Linked DNA regions of Drosophila melanogaster. The protein of the gene in region 1 interacts with the protein of each later gene in a pairwise test. Each region holds a gene or a part of one and is shown in the gene's direction. Other genes may lie near its edges. The genes, in order: CG15130 and CG6726.

Evidence for each region.
Region 2: the proteins of CG15130 (region 1) and CG6726 interact in a two-hybrid assay, tested with the Drosophila melanogaster proteins (one large-scale study listed by BioGRID).

The regions. Positions count from the first base shown.
Region 1 is NT_033779.5:20,422,603-20,426,493, reverse strand, and holds CG15130 (uncharacterized protein), read left to right. Parts: upstream 1-1,833; 5' UTR 1,834-1,894; coding exon 1,895-2,006; intron 2,007-2,066; coding exon 2,067-2,219; intron 2,220-3,013; coding exon of another isoform or gene 3,014-3,054; exon of another isoform or gene 3,055-3,143; intron 3,144-3,220; coding exon 3,221-3,309; 3' UTR 3,310-3,388; downstream 3,389-3,891.
Region 2 is NT_033777.3:23,089,813-23,095,776, forward strand, and holds CG6726 (uncharacterized protein), read left to right. Parts: upstream 1-1,911; 5' UTR 1,912-1,944; intron 1,945-1,964; exon of another isoform or gene 1,965-2,050; 5' UTR 2,051-2,058; coding exon 2,059-2,149; intron 2,150-2,243; coding exon 2,244-2,735; intron 2,736-2,788; coding exon 2,789-3,206; intron 3,207-3,269; coding exon 3,270-3,474; 3' UTR 3,475-3,621; exon of another isoform or gene 3,622-3,647; intron 3,648-3,685; exon of another isoform or gene 3,686-3,688; 3' UTR 3,689-3,866; coding exon of another isoform or gene 3,867-3,963; intron 3,964-4,017; coding exon of another isoform or gene 4,018-4,509; intron 4,510-4,567; coding exon of another isoform or gene 4,568-4,982; intron 4,983-5,037; coding exon of another isoform or gene 5,038-5,242; 3' UTR 5,243-5,372; downstream 5,373-5,964. Other genes in the region: CG17110 (uncharacterized protein), read left to right, coding at 3,867-3,963, 4,018-4,509, 4,568-4,982, 5,038-5,242; CG17109 (uncharacterized protein), read left to right, coding at 5,921-5,964.

The DNA.
Region 1 (3,891 bases):
CACACACACTCGGAACTGGCACTCACTAGCACACACACACTGGCACTGGCCCGAGCCCGACTCAATTCGATTTCGCCTCGATTCGATCCGAAGGATAATGCCACAGCGCGGATATATGATCCATCCGATTCGCAATATAATCGCCCCTCGGTTTCGATTTTCCCCCAGTGTTCCTCTGCTTGGGTTGGCTGCGCTCTGCTTTTTTCAGCAACTACTTTCTAAATTTTCTCTGCATGCCTTTTCTGCGACGAGCGCCACCGATGTGCCACCGAACGAGAGCCTGAACTGAAACTGATTCGGGATAGCACACAGCACACATTTTGTTGAATGAGTAGGTGAATGAGTGCTGCCCCAACTCGCTGGGGCGACACTGAGTGCTCCTGCGCAAGCGCCTCAATCCCAGCGAGTGCCATTTTGGGGTCCATTGTGAACGGTTCGGCCAATGCCATCGCGAGTTTCGTCCTTCCAGGTGGCGCCACCTTTCGATAAGCACTACGCGGTTCTTTAAAACTAAGTTTAGAGTTTCGAAACGTATGTACCTAATGGGCTAAGTTAACACCTCAATAAATGTTTTGATCAAACGATTACTTCCAGGAAAACTCTCATTCAGTGAATAAAAAAAGTGGTAGATGGTGTAGATGGTACTGGCAAGTGGGCACCCTTCTCGGCCTGCTCGCACACCATATCGTCCTCATCATGGATGCTAATGGATCTAGAAGCATCATCGAACTCCGTTTTATATCCGATCAGGAAAATTATGAACAATTTTGCCAGACATCCGATTGCAGTATCCGCTAAAGTTGCGGTTAATTGTGATTTACTCTTATTTACTTAAGATTTAATAATATTATTAAAATTCGCCATCACAAAACAACTATAAGTAAGCCAGCAGACTTTCCTCAGTGGCTTCATAACAATTGTTTATCTGGAAGACGTATATAAAGGGACAAAAGGACCACGTCCCCTCAGTCTGATTGAGTAATTGCAGTCACACATAAGACCGGACGCCAATTCCTTCATTCTACAGTCATTAGGCCATATTCCGGCGCCTCCAAATCCCGCCCAGACCTTAGTAGTTAGCATCTCAGCGAGCGCGGAAAGTAACAAAACCAATTGGGTGTGACCAGCAGGTGACCATGCCCGTTTAACTAACCACTTGCATGTTGTCCTTTGTTGGGGGAGGACTGTCCTGGCCCCGCGATTCCCCGCTGTTGCGCCCCCGATCCTTGCGGTATGTAAAGTGAGTGGGTCTTTATCCTGAGGCATGCGGCACCGCACCCATTTTCTTGGACTCGAGTCGAGTTTGTTGTCATTTTAGCATTCATATTCACAATGTACCAGGGACGGATTTTTACAAAGGAGGTTGAGTTTGTTCATAATACTTTATACAGATATTTAGGAACTGTATAATTTTACCACTTTAAAATCAAATGAAGGTTTTTAAAAAAGGTTTTTATCGTTTTTTCCAAATATACCTTATGTTCAGAACATGAACTTGTTAGTTGTTAAGGACTAACTATTGCAAGTTTCGTAAGGACAAAGGTGTTCCAGATTCCTCCATCCGAAGCAATCCTGCCCTGTGTCTAGTAAAATATCTATCATTGCCTTTTCTAGTTTCAGGCTTCATTTGTCCACAGGAGGGGATGGCTCCATTGTTTGTTATTTTACAAGTTAGCCATTTTGCCGCCACATGGATACACCCCGCGAATTATTTTTCCAGAAGGAAGGGAGTGTGTTGGGCCGCGCCTCCCTTACCAACTTATTTGGTGGGACAGGCCAGTTCGGACCAGTTCCTGGGCCAGCAGTAGGAACTGGATTGGCCAGGCAGCCGGACGTGTTTTGGGAGCAGCTCCGCGGTTCCAGCACCTGACAGAGCTCACAAACCAAGCGGAAAATGGATGACGATTCGGATATCTTCGATGAAATGTGGCTGGAAAGTGTGGTCATAGCGGGCTTCCGAGTGTGGCACATTATCGCCGCCGTTCTGGGTGTCCTCCTCCTAATAAGTGAGTACATCATAGCTGTAGCTTCGGTCTGGACACAGTTTAATCGAATCATTGCCGCAGTGATTATGGTATGCTGCTGCATTCGCTTCCGTATACCGCGCACCAAGCAGGAAATCGAGGCGGACTACCAGCGCAAGCAGATCACAAAGAAGTTCCGCGAGAAGCTGCAGCAGATCAAGAACTCCGAAATGGACGACATGGACCTGCAGAAGGGTGAGAAAGTGGCTCCGCCATCTCATTACCCCCGCTCATACATACACATCGCGTAGAAAACCTGTGTACCAACTGCCCCACTTTCGCTGTCACCCTAATGCGAGCCAAGCCCTTTTCCTGTCTGGAGCTCCTCCTACCCATCCTCACTATCCCGCCCATCCACCACCCACCTCCCACACGAGTTCACGCATTTGTATATATACAAAATGATAAACGACTCCTCCAGCTGACTCCTCTTGTCGCACGCTAGTTACCTCACACTGAGAAAAATTCTTTCTGAAGTTTTTGAATGTGAAGGGATTTCTTATAGAGAGATGCTAGTCAGCTGAATAATTAGGTGTCTAAATAACTTGTTAATTGTAGTATTTTATGGCATTACAACCATTTAAGATAAGTTCCGAACCACAATTGGACGAAAAGCACTTCTGTTTTCCAATCTTGATAGCAAATTTATAAAAAGGGGCTTAAAATAACATAAACGGAAAAGTAGTAGCTTGCGATACAAAACTTTGATCTTCAGTTATCCCACCAGTAATCAATTTAATTTCGACTGAAATGGTTTTTTAATATTGTTACGTTATTTTAAAATATTTCAAATTCAAAATATTCACTCTCAGTTATCTTCTTCTAATAGAATAATAATCAAAATTGCATTTCAAGTCAGTATCTTCTTGAGTTTTGGACTTGTTCCAAATTTATGAGAACTCTTCGCATGCTTGGAACGAATTTTTCCCAGTGTTAAGCGATTTACTCACTTATTCTATCCATCTCGCCCTGCCGCTTCTCTATCACAGCACTTGCTTATATCAAATTGGAACAGTACGATGATCCCTAGGGGCTCTGTAAATTCACCCGCACCCTGTACAAACTATCGGAAGTACTTAAGCAGTAAACTCTCTATCGCAATGAACACTGCCACTGTAAGTAAGTAGCACATCTCAATAGTAACAGTCAAAGCGCTCCTCAGTCCCAACTTAGTTTACCCAACACATTTCTTTCAGTGTGTGCCCGCATCCAGAGCGACTATCTCAACTTCCAGGTCAGCATGGAGAGCATGAACGCGAAGCAGAATGTTAAGTTTAAGATCTAAGTGCCTGTTATAGTATTGTGCAGCGGAGATGGTATACCTAAGCGAAATATTAGTAACATTTAAGACATTATGTGCAATTAAAAGCTAATAAGCTAGAAAATAAAGTGTATTCGAGCGTCTGCAGCTAGCTAGAGATTAAAAGAGTGTCCCTTTTTTTATTTTACATTGCAGTTTGATTTTCTCGTTTTTATTAATTCCGATTGCTGTATCAAAGGTTTGTTAATATTTGCAGTACGTTTTTAAATGCGCTTTCTACACATACAGGCTAATTGCGGGGATGAATCCTCCATTGCGACTATATAACAAGTTGGTGGCATCCCTTAGTCGTGTTGCTCGCTTTGACATGGTAGTTTTAGTTCTCATGTTGCACTTAAGTCTACGTTTATTTGTTTAAAATGCGGCTCAGCTGTGGCGCTGACTCGGCCTATGACTGTAACAAATTGGCGGAGACACGGATTTGACGATGACTCGACACAAACACACACAATTCATTTACTAACGCGTAACTATTAATTCTTTGATCATTATTTTGCTGAGCTTACATTTAGCCTTACGGTTCTGTTTGGAATACTTGGGTTTGTC
Region 2 (5,964 bases), on another chromosome or scaffold:
CGACTGTGAGTGCAGTTTGCTAAAGTGCTTGCCAAGAGCTGAGCTCCTTTTTTTCGTTCCACCTAATGCCTGACACACACACACACAAATTGAAGCTCTCCAGGCGATGCAAACGCATGCCCTCCGGATTGTCCTTGAGCTGTCAGTCCGCCAGCAACCCAATTCCCATTCCATATTTCCATACTACCGAAACTTTGCCATGGGCTCTGAAAAAAGCTCGAACAAAAGGAAATGTACGCTCTGGGCCGAGGGATATGGTAAATGGTAAATGGCAGAGGAGGATTATATCAGTTCTCTCGCTTTTATTTTTTTTTTTTGCTTTTTTTGGCCAGGTAATGCGCCCATAACGGATTAGGCGATATCCTCGGGGTTCCATCTCTGCAGTTCTGCAGGTTTTGGGTGCTCAACGCAAACAGTTTCCGGCGTTGCCCGGATAATTGTTACAATATACAAAATTTTCATTTAGTTTATTTGCCCAGCGACAACATGTCAGCTCAGCAGCAACATCAGCAAACAACAAACAGGCGCGCCCCCAAGTCACCACCATGGGCGAAAAGTGAATAATTTGGCATCAGATAAGTAGATTCGTGTTTTACTCGACTAAGAATGAACTACTTTAGCCTCTGTACAGACTTATAGACTCTATTCTAGGGACATTACATTCGAATTATGCCAAAAACTTGCCATTTTGGCCCATTGTGCAGCTGAACGAGTGTTTGTGCGCAGGAAACTTGTGTATTTATTTGACTTATGTGACGCTGTAAATGGGGAGAGTACGAGTTTGTACGAATGTGGGGCTTGGATGTTATTTAAAATGCAGACATGTGTAGCCTGTAGTTGCTGCTATTGCTGCTGGTGCGCCATTAAAATCCCAGCAACATTGTTAATGAACTTTTAATGACTTTTTGTGAGTACACACACTAAAACAATATCAACTTTGGCCTAGCAGGGTGTGTATGCGACACAAATCAGAGGGCTTTGGTTTTGTGTATTTTTTTTGGCCCAACCACCTTTTTTTCTGTATGGGAACAAGCGTGAAATCTAAATGCGAAACTAACTTTTGACACACTACTGGGACAACAGACGCAGTGCAGCAAAGTCGGCAAGTGCAGCAGGAACACTATTAATATGCGAAATTTGAATTGGATTCGAGTGGCTGAAAGGCCCGAGGAGGGGCAACTTGTTTACCCGGAAGCCCACTGGGCGTGTGGTGCGAACGTGTGCAGTGCATCTTGATTAACAAATCAACTGGAATTGGAATGCGATTGCATGCGATTCATCAGTAATCGGAAATCTTGGCTGCGGGCCAAATGGGGTCACCATCAATCCAGCAATCCTGCAGTCCTGTTACCCCCAAAGCAATGCGAAGCACCTTCGCCTCCATTTAAGGCAAATAAATCCATCAGCCAGGGGGAATCCCAAGTAAATGAGCCTTAAAGTGGGTTCATATGTACCGGAAAGTGATGGAAGAATGTTCACCAATACATGGAGTGGAATCCCTACCAATTGGGATGGTACAGAAATAGAGTTCCACTCCTTGTGCTATGAGCTGCAAAATTCAGTTTAATTTATAAATAATGCAGTACAAGATAGAAATTACTATTAGGGGATGTCTCTTTTGTAATCAATTGAATTTTTGAGTGCTGGATATTAAATTCATCAAATTAGTTTCTCATATAGAAATGGGAAGACACGAATATTATTAATGACGGAAGCAATTGTTAACTGCAAGTCATTTGTACTGAAAAGTAGATTAGCCATCTAAAAAGTAAACAAATGCGTAAGATAAAACAGTTTATAGGCAGCACCGTATGATAAGAAATTAGGTTTAGTTCCTTCTCGGATTTATTATCATGCCCTCTCTTTCGCTCGCTTATCGCTGATATTTAAACGCGCGCTTCTCTCCACGATCGCACAGTCGTCGTCGAGCCAGTGTTGCGAAAGGTGTGTTGTGTGTCTGCTCTCCGCTGTGGTGAAGTGTCGATCAGCTGATTTCAGCAAACAATTTAATTGATTTGTTATCAGCCGGCTAATTATTTACATTTTATAGAGTGCAAAATGAGTACAGCCAAGTGGGAGAACAACGAGGAGATTAAGATCTTTCGCGAATATCTTCGCATACCAACGGTGCATCCAAATGTGGATTACAGTGAGTTCCAATGGGCATGTATATCTTTATGAGGCTGCGATAAGAGTACCCTGATCTTTATGACCTTGCCATAAAATGTGTCTGCTATTTATAGCCGTTTGCACGGAATTCTTGAAACGCCAGGCTGCCAGCTTGGACCTGCCCGTGGAGGTTATCTATCCGGTGAACGAGCAGAATCCCGTGGTGGTGCTAAAATGGCAGGGTTCCCAGCCGGAACTGCCCTCCATCATTCTCAATTCGCACACGGATGTAGTGCCCGTTTTTGAGGAGAAGTGGACACACGGTCCATTCAGCGCGGATCTAGATGCAGAGGGTCGCATCTTTGCGCGCGGATCGCAGGACATGAAGTGCGTGGGCACCCAATATCTGGGAGCTGTGCGTGCCCTCAAGGCCAGTGGCTATCAACCCAAGAGGACGATCTATCTCACTTATGTTCCGGACGAGGAGGTTGGCGGCCACCTGGGCATGCGGGAGCTGGTAAAGAGCGACTACTTCAAGAAGCTCAATGTGGGATTCAGTTTCGACGAGGGAATCTCTAGTGCGGATGAAACCTACGCTCTGTACTACGCTGAACGGACTCTTTGGCGTGAGTAGGATTGACTCATACAAACAATTTAAGCTAGCCATGTTTTCCTGCAGATCTTCGTTTCAAGATCAGCGGAACTGCTGGTCACGGATCACTGTTGCTCCCGAATACTGCTGGCGAGAAGCTGAACTATGTGGTAGGCAAAATGATGGAGTTCCGCAAATCGCAAGTGCAAAAACTAGCTGACGACTCATCCCTCGAAATTGGTGATGTGACCACTGTGAATCTCACCCAACTGAGGGGCGGAGTCCAGAGCAACGTGGTTCCCCCATTGCTGGAAGCTGTATTTGATATCCGCATTGCCGTCACCGTGGATATCCCTGCCTTTGAGAAGCAGATTCGCGACTGGTGCGAGGAGGCTGGCGGCGGCATTGAACTGGAGTTTGAGATGAAAAACCCCTTTGTGGAGCCAACAAAGATTGACTCGTCGAATGCCTACTGGCTGGCCTTTAAGAAAGCACTCGATGACCTGTAAGGATGAGAAGCTCTGACAAAAGGCATGGCTCTGATATCCTTTCTCCTTGTTTCTTTCAGTGGCCTCAAGACACGGGTTCGTGTTTTCCCCGGCGCCACGGACAGTCGTTATATTCGCTACGCAGGCATTCCAGCTCTAGGATTCTCGCCCATTAACAACACCCCCATCCTGCTGCACGACCACGATGAATTCCTGAAAGCCGATACCTATTTGCACGGCATTGAGGTTTACAAGAAGCTCATTCCTGCCGTAGCTGATGCTTAGCGAACTCAATTCAATTATGAAATAATGCATTTAATGCTTACTTGTCGATGTTTATTGTAATAACTTTAAACAAGCAGGCTTATAAAAACCCATTTAAATAAACAATGTATGAATAAATAAGCCAGTCCATAGTCCATACCATTAATGGTGAGCAAAAAAAGGAAATTTAAATGAAAATGAATAAGTTTATGGTTTACTATTATGGCTTTGCTAGATAACATTAAGCTCTTAGCGCAAAGATGAAAATCCGCAAATTGTGGGCTCTTCTAATCAAGTAGCTTAAAGTCAACAACTGATAATGCCATTAAGTCAATCCACACTCAGACTTCAAACCAAACAGCACGGTGGATTACAAGTCAGTTCCTTTAGAACCACGGGGCATTCAACTCAAAATGTGCACTTGCACGGAACAATGGAAGAACGACGAGGAAATAATCATTTTCCAGGAGTATTTGCGCATTCCCTCGGTGCATCCAGACGTGGACTACAGTAAGGATTTGTTTTTCCGCTCCTTGGATTTTGTTATCCCTATTTCCCTTGCAGCTGCATGCGTGGAGTTCCTAAAACGCCAGGCTAACAAACTTAATCTCCGCGTGGACGTGGTGTATCCTGTTGTGCCTTCGAAACCGGTGGTGATTATGAAGTGGCTGGGCAAGCATCCCGAGCTGAAATCCATTATATTGAACTCACACATGGACGTGGTGCCCGTGTTTCCCGAAAAGTGGACCCATGAGCCGTTTGGTGCCCACATAGACGCCCAAGGCCGGATTTATGCACGCGGTGCCCAGGACATGAAGTCCGTGGGATGTCAGTACATGGCTGCGGTCCGTGCACTCAAAGCCAGTGGCTATCAGCCAAAAAGGACCGTATATTTGACTTTTGTGCCCGACGAGGAAACTGGCGGACACATGGGCATGGCTGAATTCGTCAAGGGTGATTACTTCAAAGCCATGAATGTGGGCTTTAGCCTGGACGAGGGCATCGCCAGTGAAGATGACACTTATCCTGTATTTTACGCCGAGCGTACATTGTGGCGTAAGTCTTCCATTTGCATCAGTAGCAATATATTCTGATTCATTTTATACCCCTGCAGAACTTCGATTTAAATTCAGTGGCACTTCAGGTCATGGATCGCTGCTGCACAAAAGCACGGCTGGCGAAAAGTTTCACTTTGTGATGGATAAGCTGATGAAGTTCCGAGAAACCCAGGTCAAGCTACTGGCCGAGGACTCCTCCTTGCAGTCCGGTGATGTGACCACTTTGAACCTGACCCAACTCAACGGTGGCGTCCAAAGCAATGTGGTTCCCCCCGTACTAGAAGCCACTTTTGATATTCGCATAGCCATCAACCAGAATGCCGATGCAATGGAGAATCAGATTCGCGAGTGGTGCAACGAAGTCGGTGGTGGAGTGGAACTGGATTTCACGCTGAAGTGCCCCTCGGTGGTGACCAAGATAGACGACTCCAATCCCTACTGGCTGGGCTTCAAAAAGGGACTAGATGAACTGTAGGTAAACAAAGATTGTGTAGTTTTCACTTCATAATTTGTTGAAATTTTCCAGAGGTTTGATCACCCATACACGAGTTTTCCCCGGCGCCACCGATAGCTTCTACGTCCGGCAAGTGGGAATTCCCGCTCTGGGATTTTCACCCATCAACAACACCCCGGTGCTGCTGCACAATCATGATGAATATTTGCGGGCCGACACATATCTGCACGGAATTCAGGTGTACAGGAAGCTCATCCCCTCTATTGCTGATTCATAAAATGTTCAAGCGAAGTTCCACTCATAAATGGAAATCAATATGCTACAATTGGTCTTATCGCTTATGAGTAATGTTTTTGGCTCGATGAGTGTAGGACCAAAATTAAATGTTTAAATGGTGTGACTACTACAAATCATATCTGTTTCTAAACAAATGAAAATCACACACTGATAACACGAGTTTCAGAAGAGAGTTTTTGTCATGGACTTTGCCCTCATTCAATATCCAATAAATCGTCACAACTATTGATATCGTTCTCAAAAACTAACGTAACCTTCACGTAAAGGGGTTGTATTTTATATATACATCATAATTATCAATAATTACATTAATATGTATTCTATTTTCTTATCAAACCAAATACAAATTATAATAACCCATTTTTTCGCAGACCATAAACGACGGTGGTTGAGTTTTATTGGTGTTATGTGAACTTTATCGAATTGGCTACCGTTTGCTATTAGACATTTGTTTTGGTAGAATTTTGTACAAGAATATGTGCTGTTATCATTTCTATAACAACCGAGTTTGATAACGAACTCATTATTTGATAATAATACGAAGCCAAGGCCATAAAACCAAAATCACCCAACACACAAAAATTTCTGTATAAGTTCATTTTTTGCCAACTGCGGCACATTCGAGTTTGGTGACTGGCAGCGAAAACATATCCACAAAATGAGCACCGAAAAGTGGGAGGACAACGAGGAAATCAAAATATT